Oryzias latipes: one gene and its partners. The protein of the gene in region 1 purifies or fractionates together with the protein of each later gene. This does not show direct contact. Links are inferred from orthologs where the notes say so. Each region holds a gene or a part of one and is shown in the gene's direction. Other genes may lie near its edges.

Region 1 (4,138 bases):
CGACAATTTAGCTTATTGCAAAACTGTCCTTAAAATTGGTAAGAATCCAACCGTTATCTTTTTACACTAGAGTGTGAATCTATGGGAATTTGTGCAGTTTTGTTTGTTTTTTGCAACTGTTGCAGATGTTTTCAGTGATTCTCTTTATCACAGAATCCAGTGTTGAGACAGACAATTTAAACGTTTCTCTTTTTAAAAACAAAAAGAAAAGAAAAAACAATCCCTTCATGGTTATTGAAAGCTGACGCTGGTCCCTCCTCTCTGCAGGCGACCGCACAAACGTGGCGACCACCGATCTATCGGAGATCCTTCCAGAAGAGGTGGAGGCAGAGGTCAAGCTGGCCGCTGAAATCTCCATGGGAACAGAAGTGTCGGAGCAGGACATCGCCAACATTCGACATCTCTGCGATCAGGTCTGTTCTCCTTGATGGAACGCATGCTGGTGTCTGTGCTGGGCGCTACGTTGCCGTATTTTTGTTGTAGTTTATTAATTTTGAAATGTTAACAAAATTGCAATCAGCTCTATGTTTTAAAACGTCGGCCAAGGATTTAAGGATAAAGGAAAGAAAAAATATTTGTAGATGGTGGTGCGTCCTCAGATCAAATTTGGTGTGGAAAAGAGCAAAAATATTAGCATTACATGGTAAATTCTAAATAATCAACTTCAACTGCAAATTGTTAAATGAAAATTAAAAACTGAGTCCAGATTGGAACTTATAGTCTCCTAAATTGTTAGGTCTAAATAATCGTTGTAGCTTAATGTTCTCTGCATTCATGTCTCAAAAAGCAAAGAAGTTTTTTTTTTTTTTGTGGAATTGAAGCTTTATTTTGATTAAGCATGACACAGATTATTATTTAAAAATTAACTTAACAAAAAAGCTGAAGTACAAAGTCGAGTCGAACATTTTCCAGTAGCCTGAAGGAGTTTATGCATTCAAGAAGATCTTCGCATGAAAGTTTCTCACAATTCACTAAAATGATTTTTCTGGATAAGCATTGAATGCATCCAAAACTAAACATTTTTGGGTTTTATTGGGCATGTTTTGTCTGCAAATAAATGGAACTACTCTATTGAAAATCTCAAGTAAATTGAATCGGAAACGATCTGTCTGATCCCAAAGAAGAGTCTTTTTGCTGATAGGTCTGACTTCAAAGGTTTGTGGAGTAGCAGTGGCAGTGCTGATGATGTCGACAGTTGTCTTCATCCTGAATATCCCCGTGTGGGTTTTCAGTCACTACCTCATCTGAACTGTCACGTGATGCTCGCCGCGGCGCCAAAGCGTTTGTCTCCTGCGCGACCTTCAAACGGATCTGCTTCCTCCCCAGGTGATCGAGATCTCGGATTACCGCGCACAGCTCTACGATTACCTGAAGAACCGGATGACGGCCATCGCTCCCAACTTGACGGTGATGGTGGGCGAGCTGGTTGGCGCCCGGCTCATCTCGCATGCCGGTAGGTTTTGTGCAGCAGAGAGGGAACAAGGCGGGCAATGATGATGCGGACAAAACGTCGTTTTCCTGAATCTGATGACGGTTTTAAGTCACTACCTCTTCTGAGCTCATATTCTTTAGGCTATTTTCTCCTCAACACCAAGTTCAGATCATATTTGCCACTCTTAATATTTTATTTTTTAACTCTTTCGTGTTCAGGTTCACTTCTGAATCTGGCCAAGCATCCGGCCTCCACGGTGCAGATCCTGGGCGCAGAGAAAGCTCTTTTCAGAGCTCTGAAGACCCGCAAAGATACGCCCAAATATGGTCTCATTTACCACGCCTCCCTAGTGGGACAGACCACTGCCAAGAACAAGGGCAAAGTATGTTCCGGAGAACCGAGGGAGGGATAAATGATGACTGATCACCATCAAGAATAAAAAAAAATTGAACAATCCTTTCACCTCCTCTGCAGATCTCCAGAATGCTCGCTGCAAAAGCGTCGCTGGCTATTCGCTACGACGCTCTGGGAGAAGACACGAACGCCGAAATGGGAATCGAGAACCGAGCCAAGCTGGAGGCCAGACTCCGGCAGCTGGAGGACAGGGGGGTACGTAAAAGATTTCAGGATTTCCTGCCATTTCATTTCTATATTTTAAAAGTTCGAATTTTTTATTATTATTTTATTTTAAGTGGCTGTCCCTTTTTTTTTTTTTTCAAAATGGACGCTTTTCTGCCGGTTTGTCGCCATAGCAATCATTTAATGTTTCGGTCCCCTGGGGCCGCCGAACAGATTGGTGTAATTTTCATCAGAGTCGGCTTAAGTCAATGTTTGGATATTCTTGGAAGCAGATGTTTTTTGTTAGCCACGCCCACATTCCTAATATGTTCATATTGCATGACCTATCGTTTTGCTCACCTTGATCCAGGATTGATCCGTGTATTACATTTTTACAATGTGCCAGTAAAAATTTAAATTAAATGAGCTGCTTTTGCTCGCTCGTCGTGCCAACGCCATTCAAACTCTACAAACTTTATTTATAACTTTATATGCCGTAGAAGGTACCAAAGATGATTAGAATCTAAATTGTGAATTATTGGAATCATGACTTGAATATATATATTTTTTTAAAACGTCTTCTATTTTAACACCATTTTGATGCCATAATCTCAGTTACTTATAACCAAATCTTCCATTTCAGATCCGTAAAATCAGCGGTTCTGGCAAAGCCATGGCGAGGGCTGACAAATACCAACACAAGAGGTTAGGAGCAGAGCACTCCTCTCTGCAGGGATCCTTTACTTCTGCACGTTTGTGCGACATGTGTTGATTTGTTTTCAGCGAGGTGAAAATTTACGATCCATCTGGAGACTCCACCATCCCCTCCACCTCAAAGAAGAGGAAATTCGAGGAGGTGGAGCAGCAGGAGGCTGCAGAGGAGCCCACCACATCGGGGATGAAGTCCAAGAAGCCAAAGAAAGAGCCCCAAGTTCAAGGTGAGCAAGTGATGAAGGGACGCCGCGGGGGGGTTGAGATGTTCACGACGCTCAAGTTTGACCATGTGTGTTCCAGAAGAAACGCCTGAAACTTCAGCCGAACCGGAGACGCCCAAGAAAAAGAAGAAGAAAAAGGACAAGAAAGCAGTGGAGGAACCAGCTGAAGAGCTAAAGGAGGAGGAAGAGGAGGTGGCAGTAATGGAGGTGAGCCTTAGGCCAAACGTTTGTGGGGGCAAAATCTGGAATCCTGTTCTAACTGCTCACATTTACTCTTCAGTCAACAGAGAAAAAGAAGAAGAAGAAGAAAAAGAAGGAGGAAGATGACGAATAAGGAGATGGAGCCAGTGTATATATTTATTTTAGATATGTCTCTAATTTTGTTTTGTTTTTTACCCATAGAAGGTATCATCTGCATTGTTCCATTATACTACAGAATGTTTAATTTTAGACACAACAAAAAGAAAGTTCCTGTTTGTCCGTTCTTTCTTTGACACCATTTTATATTTTTGTCTCTTTGAAAAGGGATTTTAAATCTGTGTCTTAGAGGAAACATTTCCAATGTTGAAAAAAAAAAGGATGGACGAACAAACGTCTTGCTGTAAAGTTAACCTTTCTTTCCAATTATTGATTGAAGTTTATTTTTGGAGCCAGACGAAGCTAAATCTGGACTCAAGATGGACGATTGAATAAAAATTATTACAAACTTGTAGATGTTGTGATTTGCATTCAGTTACAGAAGTCACGTTTAATGCCCACATTCTGTGCTATAGAGCCAATACCATACAATTCTTAAGCCTTTTAGAGTAAAATAAAAAAAAAATCTGTATATGATATTACTTCCCACACAAAAGAACACTTTTTTTTTATAAATATTAGTTATATTCCTGAGCTTGTTTCCAATCAAGAAATTAGAGACAACTTGATCTCTGAAGCCCCGCCTCTCACTCAATGTGGTGACGTCATCCGAGAGTCGAGCTCAGCAACCTGTGTTTCGCCCACAACCAAACTTTTGCAAAGCTTTTTGGCCAAACCCTGCTAGCTCTGTGGAGAAAGTGGACGGCAGAGCCACAGTGCATGCGGGTAATCATCCAGGGTGTTATTACAAAACCCACAAGTGTCTGATTCTCTTTGGCCCATCATGAACATCCTTGGTCTTGTGTAAGTGAGTCCTATGAAGAGTTTTAAACAGATTAAGCTGCAGGTTAGGACT
Region 2 (4,243 bases), on another chromosome or scaffold:
AAACCAGCCCTTTTCTGATTTTGCTTGGTTATTATTCAACAAACTGAACGTATAAATTCCTAAATGTCAGTCACTGCGACGTAGGGGTGTGTATTGGCAAGAGTCTGCCTATAAGATACTTATCCCAATACTCGTCCCACAATACGATATGTATTGTGATATTTAACCGGAACACATTTTCTTTCTTTTTTTAAATATGACTTGAAAAAACTCTACCAGAATTTCAATACGTCTTTCGTTGTAAAAAATAATTGTAAAATTTAGTTTATTTAATGATCACAATGTTAATAATATATATATAAGTTGATTTTACCCAAGCAAATTCATAGTGCTTTTATTTAGGTAACTTCAAATATATAAAGGGAACAGTCAACAAGTATTTTGACAACAAAATAATTTTCAGAACAAGAAAAAAAATGGAATGACTGTGCCTTAACCAAAAAAGTATGATTTAGGAAATAAATAAATGTTTATTTTTCTACATTAAAGTAAATTCTCAAGTACCTTTAAACAGTTCAGGAGCCTGAATGGTGCTTCAAAAATAAAGGGGGGAAAAAACGAATTATTTCCAAAAACAATAGAGTGTGATGAGGCAGCATGACAGGGTGGAGAATCTTTAATGTGGCTATGCTTTATTTACATACATAATATTTGAGCGAACCCCTATACTACAGTCACAGGGCCCAATGAACTACTGTGAATGACGCTGCCCCCTCTATGCTGACAATCCAAAGAAAGGCTCTTTCCTCACAGCAAGAAAGCTCCCAGTTCAAGTCCCGGCTGGGGGACCTGAAACAGAACATCAGTGGGGGACCTTTCTGTGTGGAGTTTGCATGTTCTCCCTGTGCATGCATGGATTTTCTACGGGGACTCCAAAAACATGCTTCATAGGTTAATTGGTTACTCGAAATTGTCCCTAGGATGCATGGGTGTGTGATTGTGGCCCTGCGATAGACTTGCGACCTGTCCAGGGTTGTACCCTGCCTTCGCCTGCAAGTGGCTGGGATAGGCTCTGGCAGCCCTGTGACCCCGAAAGGGAAAAAACAGATTAGAAAATGAACGAATGAATGTTTACGTATGTATTTTGAGCATAAACAAAACTAAATATTTTAGTTGCCAAAACACTTTACACCTGCCTTTTTTTTAAATGGGCACCATCACACTTCTCCATTCCTTAGGCATCTTCTCACATTCTAACATCCTGTTGAACAACTCAGTCAAAAGCTCCACTGCCATCTCTCCTAGACACTTTATTTTTGTTGGACTTTTTATTCTAAGCGGGGGTAGTCTGTGCAGAGACATGTCCAGAGCTACAGGGGGCAGCACCTCTGGAACAGAGCGGCGGAACGCCCCGACTTCGTTTGAAAACGGAAGTCGTTCCCTGCTGCAAAGAATAAGAAGCGCACGTGGCCACGCAGCTCGCACGCGCGGTTGGACCCGGACGGTTCGAAGAATCAGAGGTCAACTTTCCCGGTTCTTAAAGCTATCATGAAGCCAGGTAATATCGTAAGCTCCGCCCGGATGTATCTATAATGTCAATATCTCAGCTCCGAAATAAAGCATTTTTTGCGTTAGGGAAGGAGGGGGGTAACAACAGAAGTTGCCTCGTGCGCCGATAAGTTACATGTTGGTAATAATCAAACCGATTTCCCATCATGCTCGGCAGCGGCGTCTACGAAGCCCCTAAATTTTATTCAGATGGTTCGTGTTTTGGTGGGGGGGCTTCTCGCTAATACTCCCGAACCGTGAATGTTATGGGTCAGAACGACGGAAAGGACAAACTCTCCATTCCGAACCCAAAAGCTAAGATTCTCCCCGAAACCAAACCACGAAGTCTGCGGTCACGTGATTTTTATTAGGATTAGATTACCTTTTTTTTAAGGACGTCGCTGTGTTGTCTCTAATGACTCTTGTTTGAAAAAAAAAAAGAGAGATTTTGTTTATGAACAGCCACTGGCCCTCTTTACAGCTCATGATTGGTCACGGCAGGCAGAAAACCACGCCCCCAATTTGGGGCAATTTTAATTATTCATTTAAAATAAGTCTCCAAACTCCTATCTCAAACAATATAGTTAAACTTTGTATACAATCTAGACGAATTGGACGATCTCTGACTTCACTGGTTGGACTGAAACATAAAGTGAGGGGGGGACAGAGTTAAGTCCCCCACAGGTGTTGACTTTTGGGCAGGACCAAGGCCCCACCCTCCATTCGAAATCCAAAGTGTTTCAAGTCCCACTACGATCATCATTGGATCTATTTTCAAAGTGTTCCCAGTGGTCTTTTAATTCTGATTTTGTCGTTTTCAGGCAAGATCCATAAACTGTTGTTTCCTAGGACATAGTTCCTGCAGAGCAGCAGGAGTTCATTAAAAATTCACCTCTGAGTTGTAGGCGGGACTGTAGGCGTGGAGTTAGTGAGACCACCTGACTGCAATCTTTCATGTGTTGTGTGTTTCAGGATTCAGTCCCCGTGGAGACAGAGGAGGAAGAGGAGGAGGAGGATGGGGTGGAGGACGAGGGGGGTTCAGTGACCGAGGAGGAAGAGGGGGGTTCGGTGACCGTGGAGGAAGAGGCGGGTTCAGAGGTGGACGAGGTAAGAACGGCGCCGTAGTTCCGTTCCGTAGACAGCCAGCAGAAGGATCTGTTACTCACAAAAGCCTCTTTTTAGGTGGAGGATTCCGGTCCCCCGACGGTGGAGGGTTTCGAGGACGCGGGGGCGGCAGAGGAACCCCAAGAGGACGAGGAGGGAGAGGAGGCCGTGGAGGGTTTGGAGGAGGGAAGAAGGTGGTGATAGAGCCGCACAGACATGAAGGTACTTATGGACTCCTGATGATGATCTTTTCCATTTTAAACAGGCGTCTAAAAGCTGATTTCTACCTGCGGTGCGTCTGCGATGTGGTGACACAAGAAATGTGCCAATCAGAATGTTTACACCGTCTCCGTCACATGTCCGTCCCTCCACAACCCAGGCTTTACGCAGCAGTTCTATTTTCTGCCAATCGACGCTTCAAATTCGTCCCTAAAAGCCGGGAAACGGATCCGGGTTTAAAGATAAAATCTTCTGTTGTATTTTCAAAATAAAACTTTCTAAGACTTCATATTTACAGTGACGTGTTCACATGATGACGCACGTCAACACCGCCGCTAACACCACCACGGACGAGGAAAGTTTAATTGTGGAGGTTAAAAAACACATGTATGACACAAAATGTGTATTTTACAAGGACTCAGTGAGGAAGAGGAGGGTACGGGGTTTGATCGTTTAAGTATTGGATGAGCAAAGAGACACGGGGTTGAAAGGCCAATCCACTCCTCCAGGGGGAGGGTCTTGAAACAAACTCCTCAAACAGCGCGACGGCGGCACACTGCAGAGGGAGCAGTGTAAATTCAGGGTTACTCTTCACCCAAAGCTCATCATGCACGCATGAAAAAGCAAACAAGATGAAAACGACAGAGAATCCTCATTCAAATGTAGACGCAGCAGGTCAGTCTGAACGGACAGAAAGACACGACTACCCCCAAACCATCCTCTAGTTGTTTTTAACATTGAGGGAGGCTTTGTCCTGAAATGAAATGGACTTGGTTCTGTTGTTCTAGAAACCACCAAACAGAACCGGCTTTTTTTTTTTTTTTTAACTGGGGTCTTTGGAGAGTACGTGGAGCATGAACATTTAAAGTTTCCGTAGAAAGAATGTTCTGTTTGAACAGAAAGATGTCTTCCACCAAATTTCATCAAAGCTCTGCTTACAGTTGTCTGGATGAGCTGAAGGCTTTTCAGAGCTGTTCTGGAACAGCCCAGTCATCAGGAAGTTCCATCACAGATGCATGGACTAGTTTCTGTACGGCAGGACTCGTGCTGTTTCAGGGTTTCCTCGAGTTAAAGGTCATGTTGCTGTGGTGAGAGTCTGAAACTGACGTAGGAGAGTTAAGTCAGTTTGCTTCAGATGTTTGTCATGGATGGTTCCTCTGAAGTGAGTCATTACTACTCTACAGGTCTATAGTGAAGAGCTGAACAGCTCTGTTTCTTAGCTGAGTTAAAGGTAATGTAAATGTGACGTCTTTAGAGGAATGAACAGGGGTCTGCAACCACAGGCGGCCCCTTTAACAGTCTGTGGTAGCTCTTTGGCTTTAACCTCTTCAGATCTGTGTGTGGACATCACAGTTAAATTGGGTTAGATGACCACATTTCTGCTTAAACTGAGCCCTGTAATTACTTGATTCGAGGGTTATCTCAAACATTA
Region 3 (3,891 bases), on another chromosome or scaffold:
CAGGATTTAAGTTTTTAGGTTAGAGACGATAGTAAAAGCGGTCATGCTGGAGATACTAATTTAAAAACTAAGAACAGAGAATGACATTCAAATTTACTAATTTACGGGACATTTTGCTCGTGTAAATAGGTTTATTTTCTTAACAAAAATATCTAATTTTGCGATAATTGAACAATTTCACAATTTCATCACGAAACACATCACACAACAATGAAAGGATGTTTCCATTCAGGAGAAGAAGTATTTAAAATTCAAATTCAACTTTATTTATGGAGCATTTTTCTTGTTACAAACACTTCAGAGTGATTTACATTAAATAAATAAATTGTAAACAAGAATAATAGCCCACACACATATTCAAACATGTAAAAACTACTTAAGAGCAAAGTGGAAAAGATGAGTTTTGAGGGTTTTTTCCTAAAAAAAAAAAACTCCACTGTCTGCTTGTGGTTAAGATGTGTGCCGTTTAAAATCAATTGTATTTTTTCTTAGCACCAGAAAGAAGAGCGTTATAATAATAATGATGCTGGTATATGAAAAGTGCTTTAGTATTAAAGTTTTACTCTGTTATTTGAAAAATAAAATAAAAAGAAGTAACTTATTTTTTTCAGAGCAAACACAACATTATCTGGATTCTACATAAATTGTGCTCTCAATTTTTAATTTATTTAACATAGGGATATCATCTGCAAGCCGAGGTGGCTCTTATAATCTTTCATTGTGGCTCTTTGGTTTTGAAGAAAAAATGCTAATGATAATACTAACATAAATAATGGATTTGTGGTTTTGGTTCATTTCTTTTAGTTGACAGTTGTGTTTTATAATTTTTTAAATTTAGAAAACTGAGCAAAATGATGCACATAAAGCAACAGTCCTTATTTCTGTTGATCAACAATGACTAGATGCTATTCAGAAGCAAAATTAAAGTATAGAATTGCAAACAGATGTTCAGGTTAAAAAAAAGTGGATTTTGCCCCAATGTTGTCATGTTTATATTCAATAGTAAAATGAGAAAACGAATTATGGGTGCATCTGTCTAGCAGTTTTAACTCTATTTGTAAACTCGGAATCTGTTTATCTGCTACAACCGATCTGTGTAGGGGGTATTTTATTTTGAAAGGAACTGCAGCTGCTGTCACAAGTAAAATAAGTTGAAATTCTTGTAAACTAGAAAACTATCACTTTCATTTAACTCATCATCATATTTTAATTATTGTAAATATTTAAAAGCTAAAACTGGTTAAATAACAGTTCAATGGTTAAAAGTATGACCTCAAGAGGGCGAACCATTTTTCTTTTACTGATGTGCATATTGCGCATGTGCAGACCTACACACGTGGGGTAAACGTTTGCACGAGCTGCAGCCTTTGGAAGGTTTTGAGACGCAATTTACCACTTTTGGCGTTCGCTATACTTATTTCGATCCCGTTAAAGGAATTAGTCCTCCGTGAAGCATTTCGCCGAGAGGGCCGGAATATCAAAGAAAATCAAAATGGTGAGTGTAGTTTGTCTTGAGCTAGCAAGCTAACGAAAGCCGCTAGCTATTAGCATCTGATAACAGCACGCGGGGTGCTGTAATCTGGCTATTCTAAATTTAAAGTAATTATTGTGTTTCATTATTATTATTATTTTTTGTCAACAGTCAGAACCTGAGGTTAACCCAAAGGCTTACCCGCTGGCCGACGCCACGTTGACCAAAACTATTTTGGATTTGGTGCAGCAAGCCTCCAACTACAAGCAGCTGAGGAAGGGGGCCAACGAAGGTAAGGGAATTAAAGGAGAAATATTTAGCTGATCGGTGTAATATTCTTGGGATTTATCGCAGTCTTTATCTGTATTAACGACAAAATTCGTGAAACATCATGATGAAACGAAATAAAATAAAGCGCTTAGTAGGCTTGATTCTCTCACTTCCGGTAAAAATCACCCAATATTTAAAGCCTATGATTAATGTACCTAAACCAGAAAGAGTAGATAGCGTGAAAGAGTTGAAGAAGAATCTGGTGTTTCAGCAGACATTTTTCACCAGAGCAAAAATCCTGAGGAGGCTTCTTACCTGTGAAAGCAACTTTTATTTTGGCAGGTTGACCCTCTTCACTCTAACCTCCAATGTGTTTCTAAAAAAAACCCATAAAGTCTGCTGTAAATTCAAAACAGCCCTCTAAGCTGGAGAATGCAGGGCTGCATCTCTGCTAAAACACTGATTCTAAAGTAAAATGAGTTAAATGACATTTTTTATAGCAAATTTCCATTTCTGTTTAGCTTTAAACTCCTTTTATTCATAACTGCTGTTCACAGCTGAAAACAAGTATAAAATATTTAATAAACTATTCAATAAAAAAACTGTTTTTGCACAAATATTTTTCAATAAGTCAAATGTTTAAGTGGAAATTAATCCATAGATGAATTGTTGTCACTTTTTTCCAATTGAAACAGAATTTCATTCGTATTTCTTTAATTCTTTCTACAAAATCGATCAGTAGGAGATATTAAGGTTGCATAACTGTGTTAAACAGGACTTTCTGGTTTAAAAAAAGCTTCAAATAAATGCATTTTATTCATAAACAGTCAATTTAAAGCTGAGGTAATAAAAAAAATGAACAAGCCAAATATTTGTAGGATCTAGATGAATCCAAGCGATTCTAGATGCTGTCCAGATATTTGAAAAACGCCATTTTGTCTTCGTTTTGCTTCATAGTTAAGCATCCTGATATAAAAAAAAATGTTTGTATGTCATCTTATATTCTGACACTTTATATCATCAAACCTTCCAAGGGTTTGGAGTAATATTATTATTGTTAATATTGTTTACATTTTCCTGTGTTCTGACAGCGAGGCGACTCTGCTCTCTCCTCCACAGCGACCAAAACCCTGAACAGAGGCATCGCGGAGTTCATTGTGATGGCTGCTGACGCTGAGCCGCTGGAGATCATCCTCCACCTGCCGCTGCTCTGCGAGGACAAGAACGTCCCGTACGTGTTTGTGCGCTCCAAGCAGGCGCTGGGCCGGGCCTGCGGCGTGTCGCGTCCCGTCATCGCCACCTCCGTCACTATAAAGGAAGGATCCCAGCTCAAGCCGCAGATCCAGTCGGTCCAAATGGCAATCGAGAGACTGCTGGTGTGATCTCTGTGCTCATTTTCTGTTCTCATTTGAGTTTATTTACTTTAACAAAATACTTTTAGGTGTTTATTTTTTATTTTTTTGGTGATCATAGCAGCTTTGCTTCTATCAGTGTCCAAAACCAACATCATTTCCTAATAAACATTTTTTATTAATGTAATTCCTGTGTTTTATTTTTTTTCCCTTTAAGAAGTGTTTACTTTATGCAGAAGTAGTGGAGACCAAGGAGACTTTAAATGGAAGACAGAAAAACATCATAGAAATTAAACATTTTTTTCCAAGCATCTCATCCAGTTAGAAATGTAATTTAAAACAAGTGTCTGAAACTGAAGGACTCTAGAAGATACGTCTCTACAATGTACAAAGTTAAATGTTTACCAAATAAATGAGTATTAAAGAATTAATTCAAAGTGTAATCCAGTAGTGCTTTGCAATACATTGTTTTCATTTTAAAAACAGAATTTTGGGTCTAAACAATTTTTTTCTTACAATTTATTTAAAAAACATTTAGAACGTTTTACCTTTATCTCATTTCTGAAATTGTCAGAAATAAGGTTATTTTTTTACATAAACTTTGTTCAGTGAACAGAATTTCATCTTTCAACACAGTAAAACTAAAGATGCGATTAATAAAATTACTAAAATTAAAATAATTTTAAAATGAATACATATGCAATTTGTGGTTTTATTTTTGTAAATTCGTAAAGATTGTTTATAATAAGGCGACATCGTCCTTTTTTGTGTTAAATACATTTAAGAAACGTTAACACT

Evidence for each region.
Region 2: the proteins of nop58 (region 1) and fbl purify together in Homo sapiens (affinity purification with mass spectrometry; 7 studies listed by BioGRID and IntAct, counting the BioPlex papers as one, with this or other methods). This does not show direct contact. The link is inferred for Oryzias latipes from reciprocal best matches to the Homo sapiens genes NOP58 and FBL.
Region 3: the proteins of nop58 (region 1) and snu13 fractionate together in Homo sapiens (co-fractionation; 3 studies listed by BioGRID and IntAct, with this or other methods). This does not show direct contact. The link is inferred for Oryzias latipes from reciprocal best matches to the Homo sapiens genes NOP58 and SNU13.

The regions. Positions count from the first base shown.
Region 1 is NC_019860.2:15,370,026-15,374,163, reverse strand, and holds the end of nop58 (nucleolar protein 58), read left to right. Parts: coding exon 1-38; intron 39-267; coding exon 268-413; intron 414-1,171; exon of another isoform or gene 1,172-1,255; intron 1,256-1,326; coding exon 1,327-1,453; intron 1,454-1,482; exon of another isoform or gene 1,483-1,564; intron 1,565-1,650; coding exon 1,651-1,814; intron 1,815-1,906; coding exon 1,907-2,041; intron 2,042-2,633; coding exon 2,634-2,695; intron 2,696-2,773; coding exon 2,774-2,928; intron 2,929-3,004; coding exon 3,005-3,132; intron 3,133-3,205; coding exon 3,206-3,259; 3' UTR 3,260-3,637; downstream 3,638-4,138. UniProt on the Homo sapiens protein: Required for the biogenesis of box C/D snoRNAs such as U3, U8 and U14 snoRNAs. Part of the small subunit (SSU) processome, first precursor of the small eukaryotic ribosomal subunit.
Region 2 is NC_019874.2:7,457,906-7,462,148, forward strand, and holds the start of fbl (rRNA 2'-O-methyltransferase fibrillarin), read left to right. Parts: upstream 1-1,369; 5' UTR 1,370-1,488; coding exon 1,489-1,498; intron 1,499-2,460; coding exon 2,461-2,595; intron 2,596-2,670; coding exon 2,671-2,814; intron 2,815-4,243.
Region 3 is NC_019877.2:3,754,622-3,758,512, reverse strand, and holds snu13 (NHP2-like protein 1), read left to right. Parts: upstream 1-1,294; 5' UTR 1,295-1,492; coding exon 1,493-1,495; intron 1,496-1,642; coding exon 1,643-1,763; intron 1,764-2,860; coding exon 2,861-3,123; 3' UTR 3,124-3,280; downstream 3,281-3,891.